Linked DNA regions of Drosophila melanogaster. The gene in region 2 interacts genetically with the main gene of each other region. Each region holds a gene or a part of one and is shown on either strand. Other genes may lie near its edges. The genes, in order: sicily, GLaz, Marf and ND-42.

Region 1 (6,561 bases), on a different chromosome or scaffold from region 2:
TCGCGGAAATGGATGGGGTGGCGGTGGAGGATGGGGCGGCGGCGGCGGAGGTGGTGGCGGCGGTGGAGGAGGAAGACCTGGATCAGGATCAGGTGGACTAAGACCAAACCGCCGGATCGGCCGCATTCAGCCGACTATGAGCTGCAATATGCCCGCTGGAGGCGGATGAGGATAGTAGCGACATCCGGTTCCCAAGACTCTTGGGAGGATGTCGCGCCGACAGAAGGCTGGTCGTGTATAGCAGCACCCTGAATGACCCAGATATCACGGTTTATCCCGCCCATGTGGCGCTTATGACGCAGTTGTCTTAAACTCGAACTCGAGCGGGCAATTGCTGATTACGATTAACCACTGATTCCTGGGTCGCTGCTTCGTGGCCGTCGTCGGTTCCATTTATCAACTATTAGCTCCAATACATAGCTACAGGTTTTTTTCTATCGGTCTGCGGGTTTATATTCGTTAATTTACAATTGCAAATTCGAAGTCACAGTACCCAAATAGGAATACATAGTTATTCTGGTGAAATACATAAATAAATACCAACCATAACTTTTGCAAAAGCTCTGTTTTAATGAGTTCATAAAAAATGTTTTTTAAATTCAAAAATGTATTTATTTCAACATATGAGACTATCGACATCAGCGTAGGCTATGCGATATTTGTTGTATCATCAGCTGCTTTGCTTGTCCATCTCTAAACACCACGTCAATTTTTTTTTTTATACACAAACAAATCAAAATATTCAGCTTCGGCCCAGATCTGGAAATATTTGAAAGAAACAAAAGATATTGCATGCTAATTTAGCTTTAAAATGGCGTACGTCGATCAAAGTAAGTGCAAGTGAATGAGCATATGATCTCCAGAATGCTAAGCCCTTCGTTTTGCAGATGGTCGTCTGTGGGAGAAACGTCCATGGGACTTGAGACGAGTTTTGGACACATTCGTGGGTATATGGTTCGCCGTCAAACAGTTGTGAGTGCTAAATGGGTGTTAAGAGCTTAGGATTCCTTAACCCATATCCCTCCTTTCAGGCTTGCATCGTTCCTGTCTCCATTCACTGGAAATGATAGCAACGGAGATAACTCCCGTCGAGGAAATGGATGGGGAAGTAGTAGCTGGGGCGGAGGGGGCGGTGGTGGTGGCGGCGGAGGCGGTGGCGGCGGAGGCGGTGGCGGAGGCGGAGGCGGTAGCGGTTATCGCGGAGGTGGATTAAGGCCTAATCGACGAATTGGGCGCATTCCGCCCCCCTCCCAATCCTGCAATGCCGGAGGATGCTGCGGCTGAGCTGCTTAACCAAAATGCTCCAATAAATAATCCAACTCACCTCTGTGATGCGGCAATTAAAATAGATAGGTTTTTGTTTACCGTTTATATTAAAGCTATGTTTTAGTCATAATGATTTTGATTAATTGAGAAAATTCAAAATATGCAATCATACATACAATGCAATACAATACATACATACAATCATACAAACAATAAACTTTTTAATATCCGAACTTACAATGAATCGTACTTTCAGATGCTTTTGACTTATTTTTGCAACAATTTCTCTATTTCTATTTTCAATAATTAACCACCCCTTTCACTTTTCAATTGATTTTGTAAAATTAATTTTTGGCCAAAATTTTCGCATTTTTTGTAAGGGGTACCATCATCAAAATTTGCAAAAAAATGAAAAATCCTAGAATTCCCAAACTTGAATGCAAATCGATTGGAATTTAAAAAACAAACTCAACGATGTATGACATTCCATATTTGAGTCATTATTTTCAATGTTTTGATCAAAATACCGAATATTTTTTTCACAAAAAATCTGGAAACTACTTTTGGCAAAAAACTCAATTTTCAAGTTGGCTTTTTTGGCTATAACTTGTCTAAAAATGGTCACAGAGCAAAAAGAATTACCATTTTATACTCCTTATGACCAATACTAACAACCCCTATCACTTTAAAACGGATTTTGTAAAATTAATTTTTGGCCAAATTTTCACATTTTTTGTAAGGGGTAACATCATCAAAATTTGCAAAAAAATGAAAAATCCTAGAATTCCCAAACTTGAATGCAAATCGATTGGGATTTAAAAAACAAACTCAACGAGGTATGACATTCCATATTTGAGTCATTATTTTCAATGTTTTGATCAAAATACCGAATATTTTTTTCACAAAAAATCTGGGAACTACTTTTGGCAAAAAACTCAATTTTCAAGTTGGCTCTTTTGGCTATAACTTGTCTAAAAATGGTCACAGAGCAAAAATAATTACCATTTTATACTCCTTATGACCAATACTAACAACCCCTATCACTTTAAAACGGATTTTGTAAAATTAATTTTTGGACAAATTTTCGCATTTTTTGTAAGGGGTACCATCATCAAAATTTGCAAAAAAATGAAAAATTCTAGAATTCCCAAACTTGAATGCAAATCGATTGGGATTTAAAAAACAAACTCAACGAGGTATGACTTTCCATATTTGAGTCATTATTTTCAATGTTTTGATCAAAATACCGAATATTTTTTTCACAAAAAATCTGGAAACTACTTTTGGCAAAAAACTCAATTTTCAAGTTGGCTTTTTTGGCTATAACTTGTCTAAAAATGGTCACAGAGCAAAAAGAATTACCATTTTATACTCCTTATGACCAATACTAACAACCCCTATCACTTTAAAACGGATTTTGTAAAATTAATTTTTGGCCAAATTTTCACATTTTTTGTAAGGGGTAACATCATCAAAATTTGCAAAAAAATGAAAAATCCTAGAATTCCCAAACTTGAATGCAAATCGATTGGGATTTAAAAAACAAACTCAACGAGGTATGACATTCCATATTTGAGTCATTATTTTCAATGTTTTGATCAAAATACCGAATATTTTTTTCACAAAAAATCTGGGAACTACTTTTGGCAAAAAACTCAATTTTCAAGTTGGCTCTTTTGGCTATAACTTGTCTAAAAATGGTCACAGAGCAAAAATAATTACCATTTTATACTCCTTATGACCAATACTAACAACCCCTATCACTTTAAAACGGATTTTGTAAAATTAATTTTTGGACAAATTTTCGCATTTTTTGTAAGGGGTACCATCATCAAAATTTGCAAAAAAATGAAAAATTCTAGAATTCCCAAACTTGAATGCAAATCGATTGGGATTTAAAAAACAAACTCAACGAGGTATGACATTCCATATTTGAGTCATTATTTTCAATGTTTTGATCAAAATACCGAATATTTTTTTCACAAAAAATCTGGAAACTACTTTTGGCAAAAAACTCAATTTTCAAGTTGGCTTTTTTGGCTATAACTTGTCTAAAAATGGTCACAGAGCAAAAAGAATTACCATTTTATACTCCTTATGACCAATACTAACAACCCCTATCACTTTAAAACGGATTTTGTAAAATTAATTTTTGGCCAAATTTTCACATTTTTTGTAAGGGGTACCATCATCAAAATTTGCAAAAAAATGAAAAATCCTAGAATTCCCAAACTTGAATGCAAATCGATTGGGATTTAAAAAACAAACTCAACGAGGTATGACATTCCATATTTGAGTCATTATTTTTAATGTTTTGATCAAAATACCGATTATTTTCTTCACAGAAAACTGGGAAACTATTTTTGGCAAAAAACTCAATGTTTAAGTTCGCTTTTGTGGCTATAACTTGACTAAAAATGGACTCACAGCAAAAAGAATTACCATTTTATACTCCTTATGATCAACACTAACCATCCCTTTAACTTTTTAATTGATTTTGTAAAATTAATTTTTGGACAAATTTTCGCATTTTTTGTAAGGGGTACGTACCATCATCAAAATTTGCAAAAAAATGAAAAATTCTAGAATTCCCAAACTTGAATGCAAATCGATTGGGATTTAAAAAACAAACTCAACGAGGTATGACATTCCATATTTGAGTCATTATTTTCAATGTTTTGATCAAAATACCGAATATTTTTTTCACAAAAAATCTGGAAACTACTTTTGGCAAAAAACTCAATTTTCAAGTTGGCTTTTTTGGCTATAACTTGTCTAAAAATGGCCTCACAGCAAAAAGAAAAGAAGTCAAGAAGATTACGCATGGCAAAAAAGCAATATTTACGGAAGATAATGTATTTATATACCTAAGCTAAGCTTTATATGGTAAACTACCTAAGCTAAGCTATAATAATGCATTATAAATTTACCAACAAGTCACATACAGCATTTTGAATCTTCCGCCAAATGAAATTTCCGCGTAATCGCGAATACCCCATATGTAGTAACTTTCTGACAGACCGAGTGCGATCTGGCAGCACCGCTCAGAACATATGTTCAGTTGTCTGGTGGAAAGAAGAAGCACAGATGCGGCGCCTGGTGCGAAATTGGAATTGCCGATTGTTATTTAACGCCAAATCCGGCCAAGAAATTGTCAGCCATGCCGGAATTCACCAGGAGGCCAAGACCAATGCGATTCCCAGGGAAAAGAAAGTGATTGAGGCGGACAAGAATGGATACGGGGCCAAACATTGCATGAGTCTAGTGGAGTAAGTAGCGCAAACTTGTCGATTGAAGTTATCCGTATAATTGAACATGGATCTATTCCGGATAACCAGGAAATACGACTACGAGAACTACCTGTGCACCTTGCTCCTACCACGGGAACTGCGACGTGCTGCCTTCGCCCTACGGGCATTCAATGTGGAGGTCTCCAGATCGGTTAGCGGCCATGTGAGTGGAGCATCGAAATTCCTTGGGGCTTATTTTTTAAGTTAGAATAACGTGGCGCCTTAAATTCAGACTCCGTTCAGACTCTGTTACTCCGCATCAATATTATTGTAAGCATAAGTGGCTTATGTCCGCATCTCATGAATATTATTACCATTTCGAACGGTTTCACAAATCTCTTAATTTCTTATGTACACTGCAAGAGTATAATTTCTCTCCTTCCTTTAAAACGGATAGAGAAATTCGTAGAATAAGCAACACTTCGTAGTTTTTAAACTTCTTATTTCTGTCCAGTAAAATCGTTTATATAATGACAAATATCCTTGCAGCAAATTGAGCCGCAAATAGCCAAAATGCGCCTTAAGTTCTGGCACGACTCCATAGACAAGTGCTTTGAGCCGGATTCCCAAAGATCGTACGTGGAGGACCAGCCTGTCCTGCGCGAACTGAAGCACACGGTGGGCAGTCGCAAGCTAAATAAGGTATATTTGCGCCGTCTGGTCACAGCACGGGAACGTCCGCCCACGCATGCATTTGAGTCGATACGCGAGCTGGAGGAGTACACGGAACAGACCTTCTCTTCGCTATTGCTCCTGCTGTTGGAGGTGGGCGGAGTGCGTGACCTAAATGCTGATCATGCCGCCTCCCACTTGGGCAAGGCCCAAGGCATCGCCACCCTGCTGCGATCGATACCGCTGGCAGGACGTCAGCAGGCGCCCTGCATTCCGCTCGAGGTGCTGGTGCTGCATGGCGTCAGCCAGGAGCGCATCATTCGCTCTAAGAGCGACGACAAGGGTGTCGAGGACTGTATATTCGATGTGGCCAGTGCCGCCAATACGCACCTAAAGCTCGCCAGGCAGCTGCACGATAAGGTGCCGCCGCAGGTGCGCAAGATCTTCCTCTCCGCCGTGGCCACGGATGCATATTTGGAGCGCCTCCGCCGTGCCAACTTCCTGTGAGTTCCTTTGTTTTATATTGCTTTGTTTTATATTACGACAAACACAGGAGAGAACCAGCTTCTTTTTGTAGTTAAGATGTTATTTTTATCCAGTTATAAGTACGATTTGCCTTTATTGAGACTTCTTTATTTCAAAACCTAGCTATAGTTTGTTGGTTGTTCAGTATTCATGGAGCGGACCCTTCTTTTTATCAATCCCCATAATAATATAATAATTTTCCCATCTTATAGGCTAACCCACAAGAGCTGCGTAGGCCGCGACACCTTACTGCCAGCACGTTTATTCTGGAAGTCGCTGCTTAATCGGTTCTGATAGCGATTATGTTAGTATGTAGTACGAAATAAATTCTTCATTGTTGACTTCTTTAATAAAAATCACTTTAAAATAAGAGCTCTTACTTTTTCTCGAATCAATAGAAGAGGATTTCCAATGTTTATAAGAATACGAATATGAATCGGATCGGGGATCTTTTGGATGAAATGGGTTAAGAACGGTTGCAGGAATATCGCTATCTCGCTTCGAATCGGGACGTAATTACTATCGATGACAGGTGCACCAAAGGTTCGTCCCGACGAAGGTATCGGTGGATACGATGCAAGACCCGATTGGTACAGTAGTTGCTAGCTGATTTCAGAGCGTTTCAGGCGCAGTTTTAGTTTTTTATGAATGTTAGAATTGATGTGGAAAGTGTGTGTTGGATATTAATGAGAACGGAGCAGTGCGACGATCGCTCAACAAGATAAGCACCGTTTGTTTTTGGGCCCGTTTCCGGCTTCCGGTTGCTAGTTCCGGAAAAATTGCAACGCCTACTTTACGCGTACTTTTGGCATGGTGAGTTTTTGGCGCGCTTTCTTCGCACTCCTGGATTGAACTTTGTAAACCCAGA
Region 2 (8,303 bases):
ATGCAATGCAACAAAGTGCAAAGAGCAAGTGCAAGGCTAGCTATTAACTTAAACAATTCATACTGGACTGGTCGTGAAGAAGTGATGAAAAAATGATGGGGCCAGCAGGCCTTAAAACTTAACAGCAAGGCCATTGTCGAAAGAAGATCATTCCTTTCCAACAACAAGGCTTATAGGACGGAGCTGGAAACACTCTCGATGACCTCAAACGCATTGTCTATTTCCGAACTCTCCAGCAAACGGTTGACAGCAATGCGAATGCTGGGACGGACTGGTTGGCGTTCCCTGTTCTGCAGGTAGGCAGCCTGTACCACAGCCACTCCACGAGCAATGCACTGGGAAAAGTGAGTAGAAATGTATAGTTTTCATAATTGCATGGGGAAATAAAATGCCTACCTTATCAGCCAGCTCTGTTAGAAGTTTCAGTTCCTTGTCAAAGTTCTCGGCGGGCTGGGCAAGATACAAGTGCTTCACTGGTGACACCTCATCGCCGCGCAGGGTTAGCTTGCTGAATCGCAAAAACTTCTGGTGCAACGTCTTAGACTTTGCCTGCAGCTGCTCGAAGATTTGTGGTTCTCGTTCGAAACGATCCAACGCTGAAATAGCCGCCTGGGTGAGCATGGGCGGCAGCGAGGCCGAGAAGATGTAGCCCAAGCCAGAGAGGCGCTGGTGCTCGGCTATGAAGTGCGAGCCAACACAGAAGCCACCGACTGTTGCCATCGAACCCTCCATGCCGGCCGATATCAGATCGACTTCATCACGCTAAAAGAAAAATACCAGTTATAATTTTAGTTTTTCTTTCCGGTTTACCACCTACATCGACATTAAAGTGCTCCGTAACTCCGTGACCACCCTGGCCCAATGTGCCAAAGGAGATGCTTTCGTCGATGAACAAACGCAGCTTGTACTTCTGACGCAAGGCCACCAGGTCGGGAAGTGGGCAAATCTCGCCCGTATTCATATAGATACCCTCGGCGACGAGGAAGCGACGTGTCTTAGCCGCCTTTTTCGGATTTTTCTGGTCTCGTTTTTCTTGCTCAATCAGCAGACGTTCTAGATCCTCAACGTCATTGTGCTTAAAGAAAACGATTGTGCTTCGTGAAGCATCCAGACCCTTCTGAATGGCAAAGTTGACAGCCTCATCCCTACAAATAACAAGTAATTAGTCGCCAATCTGAGTAGGTGAAGTAGACAATCCTACACAAAGATAAGGTCGCCACGTTTGGCATACGCCGGAATGGCACTGGCCACGGTCGAGAAGCCGTAGGAATAGACAATGGCCTCCTCCAGGCCCATGAACTTGGCAATACGATCCTCCAGGTCCAGATGCACGTCCATAGTGCCGTAGAAGCCCCGAGGTCCGCAAGATCCAACTCCGTACTTGCGCAGCGACTTGCAGGCCTCCTCCAGTATCTCCTGGTCCTCGAGGAAGCCAAGATAGTTGTGAGAGCCAAGATTTAGGCAGTCGTGTCCATCGACCTGGATGCGCTTGCCCACCCTGGACTGCACAACGCGGGTGTGCAGCAGGGGATGATTGGGATCGGTGTCGGCCACCAAGGGCTCTGGTTCATAGTCGGCGATTATTCGGTCTTCCTCCTCCTTGGTCAGCTGTCGGCGACGACCTCCTCCTCGTCTGTGGAGCAGCAACCAAATCACGGTTATGAGCAGTAGGGTCTCCAAGACGAGAGCAAACGTGGGGGTCTGTGGAAGGAGTAGAAACTGGAGTAAGCTAAATGTGGTGAAAAAGGCGAATGCAAACTTACGTTTCGGAAAATACTGCCGATTTCGTTGAACAATTGGATGGCCACCATTTTGACAGTCTGGTTCCGTGCCCTTTCTGTGAAAAATCAATTGAAACCGCCTTAATTCCCTGAAGTTATGTGTCATCTAGCCGACGCTTTCTTATCGCGGGTATGCCCCATACATATGTAGAATTGAAGCATTCGACCATACGGTACGGAAATCTTTTCAATTGGGTGTGTATGCTGACATAGGCTAATTGCCAGTGGGCGAAAAATGTGCAACCACGCCCTTCTCCAACATTCTCTTACATTAAATATCCATTTAAATCGAGCACTCACCACAAAACTCAGTTAACTATAGGCAAAATGCGTGAAATATCCGCCGAAACAGATGGATGAACGAATGTACTAAAAAATACCAATACGCGGATATCTTTAAGATGTGCGCCAAATTGGCGGCGATGGAGGAACAGTGGAATATGGAACTAGGGGACGTTTTTATTTATTTTTTGTTATTCAAAAACCTGGTCCTGTCGACCTGTCCCGCCCACCTGCCCCACCGACCTGTCCCGCCGATCTGACCCACCGACCTGTTCCGCTGACGTGTCCCACTGACCTGTCCCACCGAGCTGACTCGCTAACAACAAAATACAACAAGTTACAACAGATTTTAAATTTTTATTAAAAATTACCTAGATTTTATCAATATTTTTATGATACTGAACTCAAATAAACTTGCTACGTAACGGTTCTTTTCTAGTTATCATTTCAAATATATGATCGATTACTATTTTATATCGATAGGCAGAGCAGCGATCGCAGTGTGACCGTGCGGTGGGAAATAACGAAATCGAATTCAATTCAAACCGCCGATCCATTCAGTTTCCATTGAACTGCTGCTGCGATCGGTCAACCGATGTGAATGAGCCGCGTTACTGGCGCCATCTGAAATTCGAGTTCGCGAGATAAAAACCGCGAGAAGACAAAGAACACCGCAAAAAGCCGATGTAAACAAAGAGATATAGTTAGTTCTGCATTTTGCAAGAAAACTTTATCACATTACACGCGAATCGAAACGGATACTTGTATGTGCACAAAGTGAAATCAGCTGGACAACAAGAGTATTTTGCAATTGCCTTGGTTTATTTTCAGCCACTTGCGGCTGTCGTTTTCTGTGAAATTAACACTTTTTTCTATTGGCAGTGATGGGAAGTGTATATTTGGGTGTACCTGGCTGGTAGTCTAGATACAACAATTTACGCTATGTGTCGCGATCTAGTCTAGGTACAAGTATTCACTCTTCCTTGCAAATGTCCTTGTTTTAATATATAGTAAATTCTATTGCATTTCATATAATTATTTACTATTTACCTATATCACTATTCAATTAGACCCAAGGAAATACTTCTTTCAAAGTCACGATTGTATTTAAAATATACATAATCATTTTTATCAAGTTCCATTTCGTCTTAAATTACAATATTATTAAATAATTGCCAACTGATACTGATGAACTATACTATGTAGCTACCAATCAAAGTACCTTTCACATCACTATCTATCAATCAAATAGTTATAGTTAGCATTGCCCATGCGATAATGGCAAACCGAAATAGCGCAAAGAAAAGCCACTTCCTATTTCTCTTGAACTTGATGCGCTCGAATGAAGCTACCATGTCTACACCATGCCCACTTTCGCAGATAAATCGAGCAATGCACCCGACTAACTCCATGACACAATTGATGCATCCCAGCGCAGTATTTCCTCGATTAGGTATTTTCGCTTTTACCCGCTTTTTGCAATGCGCAATAAGTATCTCTTGGTGTGTGCGAAAATCGGTGGAGCAACCAGTTTTCGAGCTGCATTTTGACGTTGGCTTTTCTTTTACGTAACTCGCTGGCCGGGCACGAGCCAAAAACCAAAATAAATATCAATAATAAACACGGCGCCGCGCCAACCCAGTTAGTGGTTTTCACTTCACTTCACCTCACATCACATCACTTTACTTCTTCTTCTTTGCGGGACCTACCAATTCGGTCCGGCTTGCTCCACTAAGCCGGTAGCCAGCACGTTCCATTATCGCACACATCCCATCCGGAATACTAATGGACGGACATGGTGTACCTTTGAGGAAATGTATATGTAGTTGGTTCATGACGATCCATAGTTCGTTGGCCAAGTGAACCCGTCGTATCGGAAATCACCGCTTTGTGCACAGCCAAGTTAAAACGGTCGAGTTCAATGGAAATTGCCTGATTTCGAATTCCACACAGTTTAGTTAGGTGCTGGAGTGCCGATTCTGCCGCCTAAAGTGCCAAATATTCAAAGTGAACTATCAGAAGCAACCATGATGAGTGGCCAGCCACTTGGCTCGAGGGTTTGGCTGTTGTCCGGAGTGCTATTAGTGACATTTGCTGGGACAGATGCCTACGGATTTGGACGTTGCCCGAATTATCCATCGATGCCAAAGTTTAACATGAGTCGGGTAAGTTAGTTGCTGGTTTTCTCATACATACTCTACAAACTCTAACTAAAATTGCTACATATTTCGATCGCTATTTTATTAACAGCCTGTTTGGGTGTTGTAAATATTCATACAGACATTTGTTTGCAGTCTATATATACATATTTGCAATTGGCTTTATTAAACCACCTTTCAAACCTGTTACTAAAGATCTGTGTCTATTGACCCACTGAGTAACACCAGTTATAAGATTACAAAGAATTTATGAGTATGAAAATAACTATGAGTATGAATATATGAGAACTGTTTGTCCTTACAACAACGAGATGCATTGTATAACTGGCCACTCATCGCCTGTCTATTTGCCATCGTCTTAAACGTGTCACATCTTCGATTAATTGGCACAAGGCGTCTGGCGCAGACGAAGACCCCTCTTTACATCTTGGGGATTGTGCAGATGATGAACTTGAACCATTTTAAGGCCACCAAATCCGATCCGCCGTGTAAAATGCAAACCAGTTTTACAGAAGGAGGCGAGCGGCACAAAAGCTTTATGGCCTGCTGATGGTAAACAAGCCACTTATTTTATAAAGAAGTAAATCAACCAGTACCAATGCTGAGACATGGGCACGCCAAGGACAACAAAGTGCACTACAGTGGAACATTCCTGGTGCGAACATTTCGCTATTACAGCCAATATTTCAATCAAGTAATTATGGAATCATCTTGCCAAACCACCGATATGACATCACAAATGTGAAACTAATGTTTTTCGAAAGAGAAAATTAGAAAATTGGTTTCAGGTGGCTGTAAAAAGATTGTTTCAAAGTATTTCTGAGAATCCATAAATGGACTTTGTTTAGTACTCATAAATGCACGTAGTTGTTTTAAGCTATAAAAGCCGACGACTGTTCGCTTAGATACACTGTCGAGATCATGGATAGAAAATTGGAACAATCACTTAAGCAGCTCAAATTAAATTGATTGAGCCTTGATTTGCATAAAAGATAATGCACCATAATTGCCCGGTTGAGGTGGAGGCATTGTCACTCACATTATGTGGGTCTAGCGACCTCCTCTCCACTTCCACTTCCACTTCCAAATGGCACATCATCCAATTGAGTTGTTGACAGGCGTAAATTAAGCCATTTGCCACCGGCCCCGCCCCCTAAACGCACTTTTGACCCGGGGCAAAGACCTCGACTGGCCAGCAGTGGCTCTTTAATGCGATGCGGCGCCCACCGCCGACTTTGAACTGCAAGATGAGCAGCGGCCAAAAGAGCGGCTCTTCTCAATGACCAGCAGCCACAACCGAGTCTATAACCAGTTTCAAAAATGTTTACGTTTTACGCATTGTTTGCGCTAAGTGGCATTTTGATTAGTAACCCAGTTAAGTGTTTCTTGGCCGAGAGAAACGCTGCGTGACAAAGGTTTTGGCTTTCAGACTGATGGTTATCAGGTGATTCTACTTCCAATAAAACCCTTCAGATTTAATGAAGTAATTGGAATATGTAGAAGAATTTCCATTCACTGAAACAACTTACTTAAGAACTTAAGAACATGTTGAAAAGGAAGTAAAAATATCTATTTTATGTAATGTCATTATCTTGTAGGTCCTTGGACACTGGTACGAGGTAGAGCGCTCTTTTTACCTTCCGGAAATCGCCTCCGGATGCACCACCTTTCAGTTTGAGCCGTACAACAAGGGCGAACAATCGAAGTTTTCCAATTTCAAGCTGGCTGTGGCCATTAAAAACATTAATCGCATGTATGATTAAATAATCTAATAATATATATTGTGTGTTAGAAGTGTTTGTCCTTTTTAGAACTGGTAATCCGAATGTGAACATTGGCTATGCAACACCAGAAAACAGCCGATCCTCCATCATGGATTTTAAGGTATCTACAATAAATAATATTAACAACACACAATATACACAATTCCTTTTTCCTAGTTTACCACCCGATTTCCGGACGTGATTGCCCGACTACTGCCAGGTTCCGGAAAGTACCAGGTGCTATACACAGACTACGAGAACTTCGCCATCTTGTGGTCCTGCGGCAGCATTGGCTCACTGGGTCACTCCGATCAGATCTGGATTCTTGGACGTGATCGGGACTTCGAGGTGGATATCCGATCCAAAGTGTACGACGTGTTGAAGCGGCTCTCTCTGGATCCGGAAAGGCTCATCATCAGCAAAAACAAACAATGCCCCGAGGCGCTGTAGGAAGCTCCTCCAGCGTCTCATCCCCCATCTATATGTTTAAGTTCATTCGGTTAAGGAACAAATTACATTTGATGCCTAATCAATTAGGCTGCTGTGATATCGAGGAGTGTGAATCGGCGGAGAGAGGCGAAGCAACGCAAATACAGAAACAAAAAACAAGAGTAACTCGATCGAGGTTTTCAATATATGAACTCATGCCCGCATTGCCAATTAACGCGGGTGTCCTAATTAATTTGCAATAAATAGAATTTCCCAGTCATCGGAACTTAGTCGTGATTTACCAACGGATTGAAAAGGTTCTGGCCGGATAAGATGTCCCGACTGTGGATTTTGTTTTGTCTGATTTTCCTTGTGGCCCAGGCACATATGTCCGATGCGAGAGGAGGTGGAGGCGGAGGAGGACACGGAGGAGGCGGTCATGCTGGAGGTTTCGGAGGTGGCGGCCGCGGAGGCGGATTCGGAGGAGGAAGAGGTGGTTTTGGAAGAGGCGGCTTTGGAGGACGTGGTCCAGGATTCGGTCGTGGCGGTTTCGGTGGACCAGGCCGCGGAGGCTTTAGAGGAGGCGGCTTTCGAGGCTATGGAGGATATGGCGGATATGGCGGATATGCCCGATATGGCGGCTACGCTGGATACGCGGGAGTTCTTCCGGTTCCTCTTCCCGTACCCTATCCCGCAACCTATAATCGCTGCTACTACGATAATTACTATTATAATTACTACTACTGCTGATATGATACGGTTATAGATGGTTTATTTATACAAATTACAATCAACACGTTGCTTTAGTTACAAAGATTATGTAAAGTTACCCAGAAATTCGGGCTGTAGACAGTTCTCTAAATATTCCATATCTCATTTAACTTATTGTTTTGATGGTCTCCGGTGTCTGGTTCCTGTTTGTCCACCCAGTGATCAGCGATCAGTGATCAGCGATCTTTGTGGAGTGCGACTGCGATGGCAGTGCTTAAGCCTAGTCAAAAATATTCCCATTAAAATGCAATCTACATATGCGCATATATATATAAACTTAATCTACAGACTAGATATGGATACGAGACGTTGATGATGCGTTCGTTGTGGCAGACTATTCGATCGAGATCGAGAGATCAGAGGGTATAAGTGTATCAAAATAGTTTCTGTATCGATTAAAGAAAGTTATGTGAGGAAGCATCGAATGAAAGACTTGGTAACGGAGCTATCTCTTAAAGATATGGAGTTGTCATTTATACTAACTTAATCACAAACCAGATGCCCCTCTGATCTCACCTTGTGCAAAATTGAATTCAATATGCATAAGAGCTGGGGAGACTCAAAAAAGATAGTCAAGGAATGCCACCTTTATGCAATTCAGAACTATTTTATATGACCTAAACCAAAAGCGGCAATGCTGAGATACACAACTAAAGATCCAAAAGCTTATTATCAAGTGTTAAGATGATGGCATTCCCTTCTATTGTTTTTCCACCCAACCTGGCGTATTCATGCGCTTCTATTGCTTGCCCCCAAGGACAACGGACGATCGTTCTGTTCGACAAGGATTATTTCATTCACTTCTCCGGCAATCCCCTAGAGCATTGCCTTGCACTCGCTCTCGGCGATGCTGTGCTGGATGCAGTGGTTGATCTCGGCGAAGCCAGGTCGCTCACTGGGCTTGCGGTTCCAGCAGCGACGCATCAGCGCGTAGACGGAGAGCGGCGTGTTGTCCGGACAGCCGAGTACGTTGCCCTCCTTGATGTATTTGATCACCTCCTCGTGGGTTAACCCAAAGTAGGGCTGCAAGGCGAAGGAGAAGACCTCCCACAGACAGATGCCGTATGCCCACACATCCGACTCAAGCGAGAACTTGTTGTACAGTATGCTCTCAAGTG
Region 3 (9,299 bases), on a different chromosome or scaffold from region 2:
TGCCATCGCACTCCACCCCCAAATTGCAGTTCTACGACCTGGAGCAGCTGTTCCGCACTGGAGGCCAGGTGCCGCATACCAACTACATATTCATGGGCGACTTCGTGGACAGGGGCTACTACTCGCTGGAGACATTCACCAGACTGCTCACGCTGAAGGCGCGCTATCCCAGCCGGATCACCCTGCTGCGCGGCAACCACGAAACGCGGCAGATCACCAAGGTGTACGGATTCTTTGACGAGTGCTTCAGCAAGTACGGCAATGCCAATGGCTGGAAATACTGCTGCAAGGTCTTCGATTTGCTTACCATCGCTGCCGTGAGTTGAACTATGGGATACTTCATGTGGACAACACCCTTTTAATCATTTACATATATGTTTACCCCACTGCCCCTAATGTACACAGATCATCGACGAGGAGGTGTTGTGCGTGCACGGTGGCCTGAGTCCCGAGATCATTACACTGGACCAGATCAGGACGATCGATCGCAACGGCGAGATACCGTACAAGGGTGCCTTCTGCGATCTGGTGTGGTCCGATCCCGAGGACATGGAGTACTGGGGCCAGAGTCCGCGCGGCGCTGGCTGGCTGTTTGGCCACAATGTGACCAAGGACTTTATGGCGATCAATAATCTGAACCTCATATGCCGAGCACATCAGCTGGTCAACGAGGGCATCAAGTATATGTTTGATGGCAAACTGGTGACCGTGTGGTCGGCGCCAAACTATTGCTATCGCTGCGGCAACGTTGCCGCCATTCTTAGCTTCGAAACGGCGGAGAAGCGGCAGACGAAGATCTTCCTGGCTGTTCCGGATGCGGAGCGTGTGATACCCAAGCAGAACACAACGCCCTACTTCCTGTAAAACGTTCTGATGTGATGCGATGTGAAGTGATGCAACGCAATACTATACCACATACCATACCACATACCGATCCAATACGATCCGCCCACTGTTCCGGCATCGTGGCTAATAATCATATACGCTTGTGGAGAGCAGAGCGGAGTGCAGCCTTCGACTGACTGATCCGTTTCATTTGACCACCCATGAACTCAACGCCTTAAACTCAAAACGTGCGCAACGAGCACCCCAAGCATAGCAAACACTCAGAACAGCAAACACAAGCCACACACACCACACACACACCTGTAACTTGTAATTTTCGTCTCTTTTTTTGTATGGCAAAAACACATATCTAATTCTTAAGAGCACAGTTAAAAAAAAACTTTGTTATTAGTTTCCGGCAAGTCCAAAGAGAGGGGAACACGTGAATTGATTTCTTTAAGTTGTATATCCAAGTATTGTATTTACTGATAACGGATGCTAATGGAAGCAAGAAGTATATAGAGATTCACTTTGTTATTTTGTATTCCAAACCTACATATTTATTTCTGTGAACAAACACAAAAATCATATACTTTGTACATTTTGTATTAGTAATGCTTTGAAGGAAATAAGAATAACTAAGAATAACCCAATTGTGTGATCCCGATCAAAACGATATGATTAAAACAAAAAAGACAATTCGAAATGCGTTGTCCGGTAATCAGTGGGAAAAACCAGGTGTCCCTTATTCCGCTCCCAAAATGTCCATCATCCGTCTCTGTCGTTTTCGCGACACGGCTCCGATATTCAAAGTTCCACTGAAATAATTTCGATTATGAGTTTCTTACATAAATATCATTTATTTCGTTTCGTTTTCGTTCATGAATCATTCTCATTCTCATGCTTTGCAACATCTCAACAATTGTGTTTTCATATATATTGGTTTGCTTTGCCCCAACATTTATTCTAGCGTCCCAACTCAAAAACAAATATGTATAAGTACTAGACTTTCTATTAGGGGCGAAAAAGAGGTAAATAAGTGAGTGACTTTCGCATTCTGGGGTCGGTCATCATCATGTGGCATTCATAATTCCTCGCAACTTGCTTTTCCATGGCACCTGGCCATGCTCACAGTGTTTTGGATACTTCTCTATTTGTATATATATATACGCGTGCGTTTCCGGGTCAACAATTACAAAAAAAAGAAAACTAAATAATCACACTAGCAGAGTAGTGCATGTTAGGAATTAAAAGAATTCTCAACAACAACAACGATTTGTTTAAACGATAGAGAATAAAGAGGTTCCAATCGATTGGCTCATATCATGCATTTTCTTACAAAAAAAATAAAATAAAAGAGGAGAGAAAAACTGAGAGTTGAGCAGCAAATACGTGGTGCATTAATGTTGTTGTAGTCGTTTGGGTGTTTGTCTTCGCCTGATTTCTATGATCATCCACATTCTGGTTAGTGTTTTGCCCCACGGTCAGCCAACCCACTACTGTTCCACTACTGCGGCGATATATAGTTGTGCTCGAAGATGTCCAGCTCGTTCTGTATGTAGTTGGCCTTGTTGCGAAGCAGCTTCAATTGCTTCTGGTTCGCCTCCAGGATGTTCAGCTGCGAGTCCAGCGTCTTGAGCTCATCATTCATGTCCGTGGTGGCGGTATCAACCGTGCGGCACAAACGGGCAAAGGTGCTCGACAATTCCCTGTTGAGATGTGACAGAGAATATTCGATAAGTGATCAGCGATTCAGACGCTAAGGGATCAATACTCACTGCTGCACTTGGTGGCTGCAGTTGGCCGAGGTGAGGTCGACAATCATCTTGAGCTTCTTGGTGGCATGGCGCACGTACTGCGACTTGAACGTTCGCTCCTTGGCTGAATTTGTCCACGAGAGGCGCTCGTACAGGTAGATGCAGCCGTAGAGGGCACCCACGCCCACCAGGACACGCCAGCCGATAGTTTTCAGCATCTGCAAGTGGTTTGATTTCATCACATAGCTATGCACTATCACCTGCTTGGTCGTTGGTAAGGACAAGAGGTGTTATGATAATTTAACCGTTAACACTTACGACACCGGCTACGACGAGACCACCAACGGTGCCCTGCGATCCAATGGAGGACACCGCGAAGCGTGAGATCAACGACAGCTGCTCGGGCGTAATGCCAGCCACAACGGGAGCGGGCAGCAGGCACACAGGAGTGGCTTCCACGGGCGTCGTGGTCGGCGTCGATACGCTGTGCTGTGAACGAGATTCGATGGCAGAGATATAGTAAAGGTGGTGCAACACAACTATACTGTAGAAACTCACTCCAATACTGCTCTGTCGATTGACCAGCGCCGGCTGGCCCTTCTTGCTGCGCTCGCGCACCTTGCCGGTGAAGCGCTGGATCATCGCCGCAATGCCCCAGCTGAACTTAAACTCCAGATCCTCCTGGAAGTCGGCGCAGAGGTTCTGGCAATTCAGTGAGTAGAGCATCTCGAAGGGCTGCGTGCGCACCACCATCTTGGTGCTGGTGGCCAGGAGCTGCTCGTTGGGCACCAGGGCGTGCATGCGATCGGTCATCTCCGTCTGGGCGGACTCGACGTTCATGGCCAGGGCCATGGATAGGCGGGCGCGCAGATTGCTGCCCAGGCCGCTCTCCACATGGGCATTCAATTCCTTTTTGTAGATGTTCAGCACCAAACGCTCCGGATGGAAGGGCATATTGAACTCGTCAATGAGTACGCCCAGGCGCCAGATCTCCTCGTTCAGCGCCTTTGACACCTTCTCCTCCACCTCCTCGACCATGTTGTGGATCTTCATCTTCATTTCCCGCGTAACCTGCATCATCTGCGTCTCTGTGCCCTGGATGCGTTCGGTGAGCAGGTTCTTCTGGTCCTGCTTCAGATTGCGGAATATGGTGATCCGCTCGTAAATGTTGTCCAACATTGATTTCATGTCACCCGAAACACTCTTGCCGCGCGAACTGTGCTGCTGGAACTTTGTTTTCACAGCACTCTGCGAGATGCACTCCTCGAACTTGCGCTCGAAGTCCTGGAACTCGAAGTAGCGTATCTGAAAGCCCTCGGCAATGGCACCCATGTGCGGCGGATTGCCCTTGGCCTCCTCGATGCGCGCCTGCAGCGTTTCCCTGGCGGAAACGAAGAATACCCTTTCGGCCGCCTCCTTCTCGTTGCTCACCTTTAGCTCCTTGGTGAGGAAGTCGATGCAGCGTTCCGTGTGCTGAGACTTAACCTATCAATTGATGAAATAAGCGTCTTAGAAAGTGCATAGATCAATCAATCAGGGCAACTAAGTAAGCTGCTTTGGGAAGAGTCAACAAGGAGGTGTTCATCGGTTCAATTCGATAAAGAGACCAAAGCAGAGTGGATTGGGTTTTTGTGGGACCAAGCAAGCGGGTCTAGCTCATTCATTACCTTAGCCAATTCCTGGCGTTGATTACAGTGGATAGTTGGTTGGTTGTTTGATAGATTGATTGGTTGGTTGGGTAATAAACAAAAACAAAAGACACACATCAACATAGAGAGACAACAGGCATACGAAGAGGTCCAAGAAATTACTTATGAGATGTGGCAGTGCAAAACTGCTGGCAAACGAACATATGTACACATATGTGGCATATGGTTCGCCTGCCATGTAATGGTAATGCAGGGTCTGACAGAGATTGTGGACTAACTAAAGGGGCCGCCTAGAAGATCATACCGATTCCTGGCACTCGGGCTCGTTGGCCGACGCATCCCAGCGATTGTTCAGGATGAAGATGTTCGGCTTGCTTAGCTTCTGCGAGACGGTGTGAAAGAACTGCTTCTCCGCACGCGTCATCGTTGACTCGGCATTCAGGACCAGCACAAAGACATCGGCGTTCAGGCAATGGTTATCGATCCAGTCGTCCAAATTGGCCGACACATCCACACCAGGTGAGTCCACAAAGACGACATCGTCGCGCAGCAGGCTGCAGCGTTCCCTCGGCCAAAAGATGCGCACCAAACTGCTCTCGCAGAGCTTCTCCTGGCACAAGGCATTCGCCAGTTGTTTGATGTTCTGCAAACAAGGGTCACTAGGTCATTAGGCGAAACACATTTCCCAGAGGAGAGCTGAGTAGCCCACTTACCACCACATTTAGCTTCTCCTCGGAGCCCTCTGTCATAAGATACGCCTCGCCGCCATTGCTGCCCTCCACTTGGCAGAAGCAATTCGTGGTGTGCCCAATGCCGCTGGGCAGGATCTTCTCGCGCAACATGGCATTAATCACCGAGCTCTTGCCGTTGGAGGTGCGTCCAAAGAAGGCCACCTTCATGTGATCCCGCTGCAGTACTTCGCGAATGGCCGCCACCTTGTACACATAGCTTTCGAACAGCTCCCGTTCCGCCTTGTCCACGATCTCCGCTTCCGCGTGCAGGGCTGAAAGAGCAACGAACATTGGTTTAACTGGGTATTTCGCCAAAGGCAATAGATGTTAGATAAGAATCAAAATTTCACCATTTCCCTTGTAAAACGATGAACTGAATCATAATCGTTCTTATCGAATACCATGCAACATAGAGGTTCAAGGATTGGCTTCTGTTGGGTATTTTAAAAATATAATACATAACTCACCGTTGATAAAGGTGGTCGTCTCATGGACATACTCCTCGATCTCGCCGTAGATATCGTTGATCTTCTTTTTGGCGCGCACAAAGATCTGGAGCGGTGATTTGTCGTTGGATTGATAGAGCCGCGATTCCGGTAGCAGATTGGCGGCCATTGTGGAGCCGGATTGTTGCAGCGATGAGTTGAACCGGGATAGCGGGGAACCGGGTCCGGATTTGTCCACCGTGTCCGTGGAGGAGGCGTGACGGTCGTCGTCGGCGGGGCCCGTTTGCCCGGTCACCATCGAGATGGTGCGGTTCAAGTAGGCCGCCATTTCGGGATCCGGTTTATGGTTGATTCGGTTTAGCAGATGGTTTTTTGGTAGAAGAAGAGAATTGCGATACAAAACAAAAGGTATGCAGCCCAGGGGATTTGGTTGTTCAGACTTCCAACTTCTGCAACTTCGCCGCCAACCCGAAACTCAAAACTTAACTATCTCTGTTTATTGTGTGTTATATTGCTTTTGGGGGTATTTGCTCAAAAATCAACGTCATAAAACTGAAACGAAATTAAATGAAAAATTATGACACGAAAGAAAAAACAAAACGATTGAATACAGTGCGCACCAGATAAGCTCAACTTGAGTGGTTTAAGTGTTAAACAAAATGTGCGCTACAAAATCAAGCATGTGTTTGCTAAGTATATCTTAGAGAGAACATAAACTATTGATTTGTTGTTCGCTATGTCGAGAGTGCACTGTATTTGGCGAAAAGGAAAATACCGCAACGCAAATTGCACGCACACACACACACGTGGTCCAATTGCGCTGCAAACAAATATAGGCGAAAAAAGTATAATAATCTAATGTTTTTGGTTTTTCTTTTTTCTGACAATTTACATCTGTGTGCGTAAATCGAGTTGATAAAGTTTAATCTGCCCTCTCGCTCTATCAACTAACCTGATTAATGCCACTCTCGCTCATATTTGTATTTGTTTTATTTTATATTTGTATTTATTTTCCTCTCCGGTTGTTCGATTCTTTTAATTGCTGCCCCTCAGCTGATGCGTTTTCAAATGGCAAATTGTGGAAAGCGTGGTTCGAACTTCCAATAACCGTACATTGCCGACTAGAATCCAGTTGCAGAGAAGCAATTTCACGAAATTTAGTTAATATTATTAATTTTTTTTAAATGCACATGATGTAACGTTAAGGTGACCAACTCATGTTGTTCGCTGACATCCGGCGTTAGTGCATTTTTATGCCTTCCCATGTCTAGTATATTTTTATGCCAGTCGAAAGCTTAATATGGTATTTTTTCAATTCGCTGCCATATTTAATTGAAATTAATTTTTTTCAATTACTACCACCTAGCTTATTTTTATTTTTATTGTCTAATTTAAATTTTGTCTAATTTAAAAATAGAATTTACCCTGACAATGATTTTCACTGATTGGAAATGGTCACACTAGCCAGTTTCCAGTTAGCCAGAATGTAACGGCGCCTTTCCCGCTCCAATTGGAATCCGCGTGTAATTTTGTGTCTCGTGTTAATTGTATTATTTCCCCCGCTTTTCGGATTTCCGCATAAAAAGCGATGAGTCTACAGGACGAGAGTTTTCCGACGGACGAGCTGTTTGACCAGCTGAACAATTTGAGTAGCAGTGGCGCCAGGAATACCTGGTTCGCGGAGCACCATAAGCCCGCAGTCTTCGAGCGGGATACAGCGCCATTTTTGGAGATCTGCTACGCGGATCCAGACTTTGATGCGGATGGGGATGTGGCCAACAAGAGCGCCAAGACATGCGTAAGCGATCCCGTGGGTCGTGATCAGGAGGATGAGGACGACTATGATGAGGATGTCGATGGTAAGAAGTGTTCGCTCTCTCTCTACACTTGCTTAACTACAATGGGAGAAATATTCCCATCAAACATATCTCATATATGTATAATTTTGGTACTTCCATGTCTCGATGTATAATGGGTACTTCATTCAATGGGCACAGTCAATTAGCTAGTGCTAACATGTATCCTTTCTTATTCAACCAGGCGATGATCATAAACTGGGTTGCGAGAAGGCTCCATTGGGCAGCGGGCGCTCCAGCAAGGCGGTCTCTTACCAGGACATCCATTCGGCCTACACGAAGCGCCGCTTCCAGCACGTGACCAGCAAGGTGGGCCAGTACATAGCGGAGATCCAGGCGCAGGACCAAAAGAGACGCAATGTGAAGTTCGCCGGATTCCAGCGAGTGAACTCTATGCCGGAGAGTCTAACGCCCACATTGCAGCAGGTGTATGTCCATGATGGTGACTTCAAGGTGGACAAAAACTGCCAGACTCACTCCAACTCCGATTCGAATTACAATTCCAATTCAAACAACTCTAGCAGCAGCTTTGATCGATTGCTGGCCGAGAACGAGAGCCTGCAGCAAAAGATCAACTCATTGAGAGTAGAAGCGAAGCGTCTGCAGGGCTTCAACGAGTATGTCCAGGAACGACTGGACAGAAAGACAGATGATTTTGTGAAGATGAAGTGCAATTTCGAGACCCTGCGCACCGAGCTAAGCGAATGCCAGCAGAAGCTTAGGCGCCAGCAGGACAACTCACAGCACCACTTCATGTACCACATTCGATCGGCGACCAGTGCCAAGGCCACTCAAACGGATTTCCTGGTGGACACCATACCCGCCTCCGGAAACGTCCTGGTCACACCCCATCCCCTGGGCGACCTGACCTACAACAGCAGCAAAGGATCCATCGAGTTGGCACTGCTCAGTGTGGCGCCTTCTGCCCGAGTGGCCCAGAATCCCGTCCAGGTCCAACGCGCGATTCATCCACAATCTTTGGACTTTAGCAGCGTTAGCACCGAAGCTGATGGCAGCGGTAGTGGTAAGCAATCGCAATGCTATTTTATTAGATCTGTAGATTATTTCGAATAAGATTGACTAACATGGATTTTTGTTGGTTTCTATTCAAGGCGAACATCGTGTGGAAACCTCATCCAGGGCCTTGGTCAGAAGAACCCCGGCGCCCAACAACTCGGAAACCAGCCAGCCGAGCAGCAACGACTCGGCCATCGAGGTGGAGGCGCACGAGGAGGAGCGACCCAGCTCCAGGCGGCAGTGGGAACAACAGGGGGAGCTCATCTCGCCCAGGCAATGGGGCCAGCATGAGGGCATGTACTACTTTGACAAGCGCAACAACCGAGTCATCGAGGTGATGGGCTTCAATATCAGTCAGGGGCGCAATCAGAGCCATGACACCATTCATAATCAGAGCATCAACGATAGTCAGACGCGTCTGCTGGTCCACTCGATGTCGATGTCGCATTTGGAGGCGCATGACCACTTTAGGAGTAAAAGGACGACACTGGGCAGTCGGATGCTACGATTCCTGGGGCCCTGCGTTCGCTGCCGTAATGGTGATCCATTGAACCGCAGCAATGTCACATACAAGGATGGTTTGCCTGCGATGCCCGAGGAGGAGTTCGTTGACCAAAGGAACCAGCGCTAGTCCAGCCTTCCACCATCCACTTTTATTTATTTATTGTATGTATTATCATATCCTGTTATTTTATGTCGCGTTATGTCGATTCAATTAGTCCAAATTTTTAATGCCATAGCATTCAGTTAACCAATATGTGCATGTATAACCAAATTTGAAATTCGTTAGTAACTTTCCTCCAAAGGAAAATAATCTTTTTGGCGAATTGTGTAGTGAAACGTATTATTTATTTCTATCCAAGCAAATTTGTACTTGTTTTAATAAAAAAATTTTGCACACTTGCATTTATATCCGATTTGTTCGGGTTGATATATCATGTATTGAAATCATGTGAATCCCATGCAGATTCAGTTACATTGACAGTGGCTGCTTTGCGACTTCGGCCACACTGGCAGT
Region 4 (5,971 bases), on a different chromosome or scaffold from region 2:
GAGGAGTTCACGGTGATGCATCTGGGATTCCTCGACTATGCCCACTATATTATCACTGTGCGCTTTTACGGCTTGGAGTCATTCCATCAGAAGTATAATATACGCAGCATAACATTTTACGTGAGTGGCATGGCATTCCCATTGTAGTGATGGTCACTAACTTTCCACTTCAGTTCAAGACTTACAGTCCGGACTTCACGCAGATTGAAATCTGGTTTAGGTGCATCTTTCTGCTGTTCACCTTCATTGTCATAGTAAGTTTTTGTCAGCTAATAAGCCAAGTTATGTGGCTCTAGACATATGAAATAATACTATCTTTCTGCTTTCAGTGCTGGTATGCCCACACCTTGCGCAAGTATCCAATCTATGATTGGTCCATTGAGCAGCGATGGTTGTCGGTACTCCTGCCCCTGCTCCTTTTGTACGACAGTAGGTGTTTCACCCGGATTAGTTAGCGCGTATAGACTAATGATCTTCTACGCACAGATCCCTTCTTCCCGCTGATATTCCTGATGAACTCCTGGCTGCCTGGAATGCTGGACGCCATTCTGCAAGCGACGTTCCTTTGTGCTCTACTCATGTTTTGGCTGTGCATCTACCATGGACTGCGACAGAACGAGCGCAGCTTCGTGCGATTTTACCTGGTCAAGGTGATCGTCGTCCTGCCCATTTGGCTGTGCGCCATCGTTTTGGCCACGTGGGAGAAATGCAACGAGCTGAGGGATCCCACATACAGTCACTTTGTGGATACGAAAAACTACAATGTGGGTATACATAATACGTACTAATGAAATGTGATACGAAAACCAAACCATTCTTAGGGCTTCAAGATGTTCTTCTACATCGCCTGCTGCATGTATGTGCTCTATCTGGTGCTGTTGCTACTGCGGGCGTACACCGAGCTGCGCTCCATGCCGTACTTTGGTGAGACATAATGCAGTGTGCTCCAAGCCTGATCTTATTATTATAATGCTTAATCCATTTGGCCAGATATGCGCTTGAAGTTTCTCACGCTGCTCATGCTGTTCGTCCTGTCCATATCCATCACGGTGACGACGTGTCGCTTTGGCTTCGGCATCCTGGAGGATAACTTTGTCGCCTCACTTAACACCACCTATCGCAGTTCGGCGCAGTTTATGTGCTTCTACGGACTGCTTAACTTTTACCTGTACACCATGGCGTATGTGTACTCGCCAGATGGACGGTTCGCCCAGGCGGAGCTGGCTGTCACCAAGGATAATCCGGCTATTTCCATGATCGACGATTCCGACGAGGATGTTGTCTACGGTTCCGACGAGGAGTCACGGCGACCGCTCACCTCTGTGGGCGGCGGTGCTGGAAAGAACGATTACGACAGCGATTGATCGGCGATTAAGAAGTATCCGCGGCAGAACGAATACCCAAATGTTCCATAGCGCAATTGAAGTTTTAGTGCTAAATGTGTACAAAGTATTCCCTAATATAATGCATAAATTAACTTAAAATTTCAAAAAATTAATCTCTGGTTGATCAATGAAACTGGAGAGGATCGAAATATGTTTGGGTATTCATGATTAAGCTGAATTCGAAATTTATGTTAAAAAAAAAGTATAAATAAACCCAATAGTTCGAGTTTTGTTGTATGAAAAGTATTTACAATCGATATTTACCATATTCGCTTTTTAACTAATTGGGTTCTGATTATTTTACTAGACTGTTTATTAGATAATTAACACATTTCGCCAGGTGATTTCAACTCGAAAGCATAGCAAAAACCCTCTAGATGCCCTGGTTGATGCCTATTTTCGTCTTGGTGAGGAGACCCTCGTCGCCCATGTCTGCATTGTAGCCAGGACGGTACTTCATGCCGGGAGCCTGTGTGCAAAGGGGCAGAATTAATGTGAAAAGAAATCGAACAGGGAAATGGAAACACCGAACTTACATTGAACCAGACATCACGCCAGACTTTGCCGTCGTCAGCGCTGCGCACCAGCTCCGGGACATCGAAACGCGGCACATTGAAGTAATTCATCAGATCGGGCTTCTCATGGCAGTACTTGATACGGGCTTCGCACCACTCGGCCTCCAGCGGGAAACGCCAGTCGAGCATCTTCTTGTTGTGAATATCGGCCTCAAACTGGTTGAAGTCGATGCGTTCGATATCCTCCACCACAACCTCAGTCTCACCGCCGGCTGTCCAGTCGTAGATGAGCAGCTCGGCATGGGTGGAGATGTCCTTGAGGTACTGCTGCTTGTACAGCTGCTCCAAATCGCTCAAGTAGGCATCGCTGAACACCTTTGACTGCACCTCGTAGTCCACATTGCGTGCCTTGATCTGCTTCTTCACGGCATCGACCGGCAGATCCAAGTAGATAACCAAATGCGGCTTCAGCAGCTCCCCGATGGTGTTCTGTCGGAGCTCATTATACACGGAACGCGCACCGCGTGACAGATAACCCTGCCGAAACATGGCCTCCATGAAGACAAAGTCCGAGTAGGGGCTGCGCTCGAGGACAACACCCTGGCCGGTGCTAAGGACGTGCTGCAGGGCATCAATGTACTGCGAATAGCGCAGCATGTACATGCGAATCTGGAACTGGGCAGCCAGATCGTGGCTGGGATCCAGGCAGAAGTTGCGCACATCGTAGCTTCGGCAGCTGGGCGGCAACTGAGGATCCAACTTCCTCATGTCATAGCCGTACGAATTGATGTAGATTAGGTCCAGATCAACTGCCGGATAGTACTCCATGTCCAGCTCCTCAGCCAGTTCCTTGGCGAACTTTGACTTGCCGGCCGCGATGGGTCCCTCCACACAGATCACCTTGGAGTTCTCGTCAAAACGCTTGGAGGTCTTGTCGAAAATAGCATTGAACACGCTGTACTTCTTCGTCTTGTACGGATAGGGGGCGGCCTTGGGCACCCGTGGTCCACCTCGCATCGTCTTGCCGGAGATGCTGCATCGCTGCTGGAAGGCAGCAGGCAGGGCATTCGTCTGCGCCTGGAGTAGATTGGGCGACTGTGTGGCGCGGCTGACGAGCCGCACCAGTCCTACGCGGAACACGGCGGTCATTCTGAAGGGAAAACAAGGGTCAGTACAAAAACGAAACAAGATAATAACAATTATATCTCGTCCAGTGGCAATTTGTCGTGTGGTTACATCACAGGAGCTACGCAGGTAGTGCGGTAATCTCTGCCCTAGAACTGCAGATATGCGGATCTTTTCGTTGCATTCTGCTGGCCAGCATTGCGGCGCTCCATAGATTTACCCAAATTGTCGGTTTTAATGCTCTATCCGGTGGTATTTACTCACTTTTCAATCTAAATATCGGAAGTCTACCCAAAAACAAATTTCGGGCTATGGTTGGTGTTGGAAAACTCCCCGAATAGGGCTGTCAAGGTATCCGTTCAAATATCAAAAATGTAAAATCAAAATGTTTGTCTATGCTTTAACTGCGACTTTTCTCAGAATCAGAAAGAATTTCATATGAAATGAAATTTAACCCAGTATTTTAAAAACTTTATATAACACTTACAAAATAACATTTTAATGTATAAATGTATTTGTTTTACTTTTTAAAAATATCGCAAAGCGACTGCTCAACACTACACAGCACAGCTGGGGTGTTTAACTACAAGTTAATTTACTTGAAATAAATTCAACAATGCTTTTCATTTGTAGACAGACACACACCATAAACTCACATTGCCGTGCGGTGCGAGTTGATTTTTTAAATTTTTAACTTAACATATTGTCACGGTGCAGAAACAACTGGTCCACTTTCCGTTGGTCTGGCAGCCCTGACCACAACCTCGCTGCATTTTGGGCTCAAAAGTTCTAACGATGAACTAACGAAAATATAAATCAAAATTTAAGGCGAAAGGCTCCAGGAGAAGATCGACAAATATCGAGAGTTGTGACCATTAGGATCGAGTAAGTCCTGGCGTTGGGGCCCAGCACTGGGAGTGTAACCCACTCCTTACAGTTACGCAACTGAGAACTAATGCGATTTTCCTCGTGACACAGATTTTGTTATTAACCAATCCCCAGCAGAAATGGGCAATACAGCCATCACCCGAGTGCAAATGGAGGCCACGAAGAGTGTGCCGGTGGACCACGCCAAGTACATGAGCGGCAGTGGTGCCCCGCCACCAGAATGCCCCATGCATCAGAAGCATGGAGATGCAAAATCGGCCTCCGCCGTACCCCCACATCCCAAGATGCAGGCCGCTTCCGAATGTCCGGTGCAGCACGACAACAGCGACGTTAATCCGCTGAATATGATGCCACCGGCAAACCAACAGCCGGCGGCAGATCAGCCCTTTCCACTGCCCACCGACCGCCAGACGTCGACCATTCCCAAAGTCACCGAGGATGGCAGCGTTCAATTCTGGCAGTATCCCAGCCAACAGATGTTCTGGAACGCCATGCTACGCAAGGGCTGGCGCTGGAAGACCGAGGACGTATCGCAAAAGGACATGGGCGACATCATACGCATCCACAATGCCAACAACGAGCAGGCCTGGCAGGAGGTACTTAAGTGGGAGGCGCTTCACGCCAAGGAATGCGGCAATCCGCGCCTCAAGAGTTTCGGTGGCAAGGCCAAGGACTTCAGTCCGCGCGCTCGATTCCGCAGCTGGCTGGGGTGAGTATACTCCAGACGGAAGATCTCACCTGAATTAATGTTCGAATTGTCTTACAGATACGAGCTGCCATTCGATAGGCATGACTGGATAGTCGATCGCTGCGGCAAGGATGTGCGCTACGTCATCGACTACTACGACGGTGGACTGGTGGACAAAGACTACCGCTTTGCCCTGCTGGATGTGCGCCCAGCCATGGACTCCGTGGACAACGTTTGGGACAGAATGCGCGTAGCTTACATGCGCTGGAAGTACGAGCTGTTTGAGAAGTTTGGCAGCGCGGATGGCGGCAAAGTGACCGCTGGTAGCGACTAGATGGAATGCATATTTAGATGATCGCTATAGGTACAAAATCGGCTTAAGTTATCGAATGGATGGAAGAGGGAGTTTGGTTAAATGCGTTTAAGACGCTGCGAAGCGAAACGATGTTGAGCCCTCTCTTTAAATAAATGTTGAATCTTGACTTCTGAACACCAAAATTCGAATGTGGTTTTGCTTTTTATTTTATTCTTTACTTAAATCCTTTTAAGGATTTCGAATTATCCAGTAACGAGTTGATAGCATTGTGGAGGAATATATTAATTAAAGTTTTTTTTTATTGATATACTTATGTATATGCAGAATTCTCATCTGTTCAAAATGCCTGTAAAAATTTTTTTTCTTAATCTTTAGTTTTATATTTTATTTATATGCTCTTTAAAATGATTGCGAAATTATAAAAATACGTTTACTACTTTTTTATCATTACTACAAATTTAAAAAATGTATAGTAAATAGAATATAACTTTAGACGTTTCTTAACTTTTTTAACATACATTTTCTGATAAAAAGTTGATATGCAACCCATAACATTATATGTATGTTTATATGTATGATGCTTTTCTAACACCTGCGGCTTCAGGGGGTTAATGTCTGGCAGTGTTGAAAAGCGCGTGTAAATTCTTTAACTGATTGCTGGTGCCCTCATTACGTGAGATTCGAGTTTGGCCACTGGAGCGTTAATTGGATAGCCGCGATAGATTCGTTCGACGTAAATCAGTCATAAATGCAAGCTGCCAGAATGAGGTTCGTTCAATACCTGCGAAAAGGTGACTTGGCCAAGCGACTTGGTCTACTGTCCGAGGATCAAAAGTCGCTGGTGGAATTTGCCGGCTTGGAGGGTGTGCCCAGCGATCTAAAGATCCTGATTGCCCAGGATCCCAATCTGGAGGAACTGGCGAAGAAGGCCGAAAAGCAGCCGCGACTCGAGGTGAATGATGATGTCACTTTGCTGCCGCCTCTTACCGATCCCGGCAAGATCATCTGCATTGGTAAAGAATGAATTAACATACATATGTATAAACATATGTAG

The links.
Region 1: of GLaz (region 2) and sicily, changing one suppresses a phenotype caused by changing the other (phenotypic suppression), as found in Drosophila melanogaster (one study listed by BioGRID).
Region 3: of GLaz (region 2) and Marf, changing one suppresses a phenotype caused by changing the other (phenotypic suppression), as found in Drosophila melanogaster (one study listed by BioGRID).
Region 4: of GLaz (region 2) and ND-42, changing one suppresses a phenotype caused by changing the other (phenotypic suppression), as found in Drosophila melanogaster (one study listed by BioGRID).

What each region holds. Positions count from the first base shown.
Region 1 is NC_004354.4:11,887,685-11,894,245, forward strand, and holds sicily (severe impairment of CI with lengthened youth), read left to right. Parts: upstream 1-4,047; 5' UTR 4,048-4,353; coding exon 4,354-4,535; intron 4,536-4,604; coding exon 4,605-4,719; intron 4,720-5,045; coding exon 5,046-5,671; intron 5,672-5,905; coding exon 5,906-5,987; 3' UTR 5,988-6,061; downstream 6,062-6,561. Other genes in the region: CG1840 (uncharacterized protein), read left to right, coding at 812-830, 888-972, 1,032-1,284. UniProt on the Drosophila melanogaster protein: Involved in the assembly of mitochondrial NADH:ubiquinone oxidoreductase complex (Complex I) at early stages. Interacts with cytosolic Hsp90 to chaperone the Complex I subunit ND-42 in the cytoplasm.
Region 2 is NT_033778.4:13,162,349-13,170,651, reverse strand, and holds GLaz (glial lazarillo), read left to right. Parts: upstream 1-2,619; 5' UTR 2,620-2,749; exon of another isoform or gene 2,750-2,863; intron 2,864-4,016; 5' UTR 4,017-4,090; coding exon 4,091-4,228; intron 4,229-5,820; coding exon 5,821-5,975; intron 5,976-6,033; coding exon 6,034-6,106; intron 6,107-6,162; coding exon 6,163-6,435; 3' UTR 6,436-6,693; downstream 6,694-8,303. Other genes in the region: Spt-I (serine palmitoyltransferase subunit I), read right to left, coding at 171-335, 397-762, 818-1,145, 1,202-1,701, 1,764-1,811; CG15870 (uncharacterized protein), read left to right, coding at 6,809-7,180; Nrk (neurospecific receptor kinase), read right to left, coding at 8,002-8,303.
Region 3 is NC_004354.4:6,363,294-6,372,592, reverse strand, and holds Marf (mitochondrial assembly regulatory factor), read right to left. Parts: upstream 6,645-9,299; 5' UTR 6,361-6,644; intron 5,961-6,360; 5' UTR 5,737-5,960; coding exon 5,430-5,736; intron 5,235-5,429; coding exon 4,945-5,234; intron 4,875-4,944; coding exon 4,536-4,874; intron 4,262-4,535; coding exon 4,250-4,261; intron 4,068-4,249; coding exon 3,141-4,067; intron 3,072-3,140; coding exon 2,901-3,071; intron 2,801-2,900; coding exon 2,604-2,800; intron 2,535-2,603; coding exon 2,333-2,534; 3' UTR 1,669-2,332; downstream 1-1,668. Other genes in the region: PpV (protein phosphatase V), read left to right, coding at 30-317, 406-864; swa (swallow), read left to right, coding at 6,997-7,267, 7,449-8,288, 8,377-8,912. UniProt on the Drosophila melanogaster protein: Mitochondrial outer membrane GTPase that mediates mitochondrial clustering and fusion.
Region 4 is NT_033777.3:22,025,099-22,031,069, reverse strand, and holds ND-42 (NADH dehydrogenase (ubiquinone) 42 kDa subunit), read right to left. Parts: upstream 3,362-5,971; 5' UTR 3,050-3,361; coding exon 1,922-3,049; intron 1,855-1,921; coding exon 1,759-1,854; 3' UTR 1,677-1,758; downstream 1-1,676. Other genes in the region: CG13409 (uncharacterized protein), read left to right, coding at 1-120, 174-254, 330-429, 487-764, 822-924, 991-1,364; Cchl (cytochrome c heme lyase), read left to right, coding at 4,033-4,622, 4,680-4,935; CG6028 (uncharacterized protein), read left to right, coding at 5,666-5,930. UniProt on the Drosophila melanogaster protein: Accessory subunit of the mitochondrial membrane respiratory chain NADH dehydrogenase (Complex I), that is believed not to be involved in catalysis. Complex I functions in the transfer of electrons from NADH to the respiratory chain.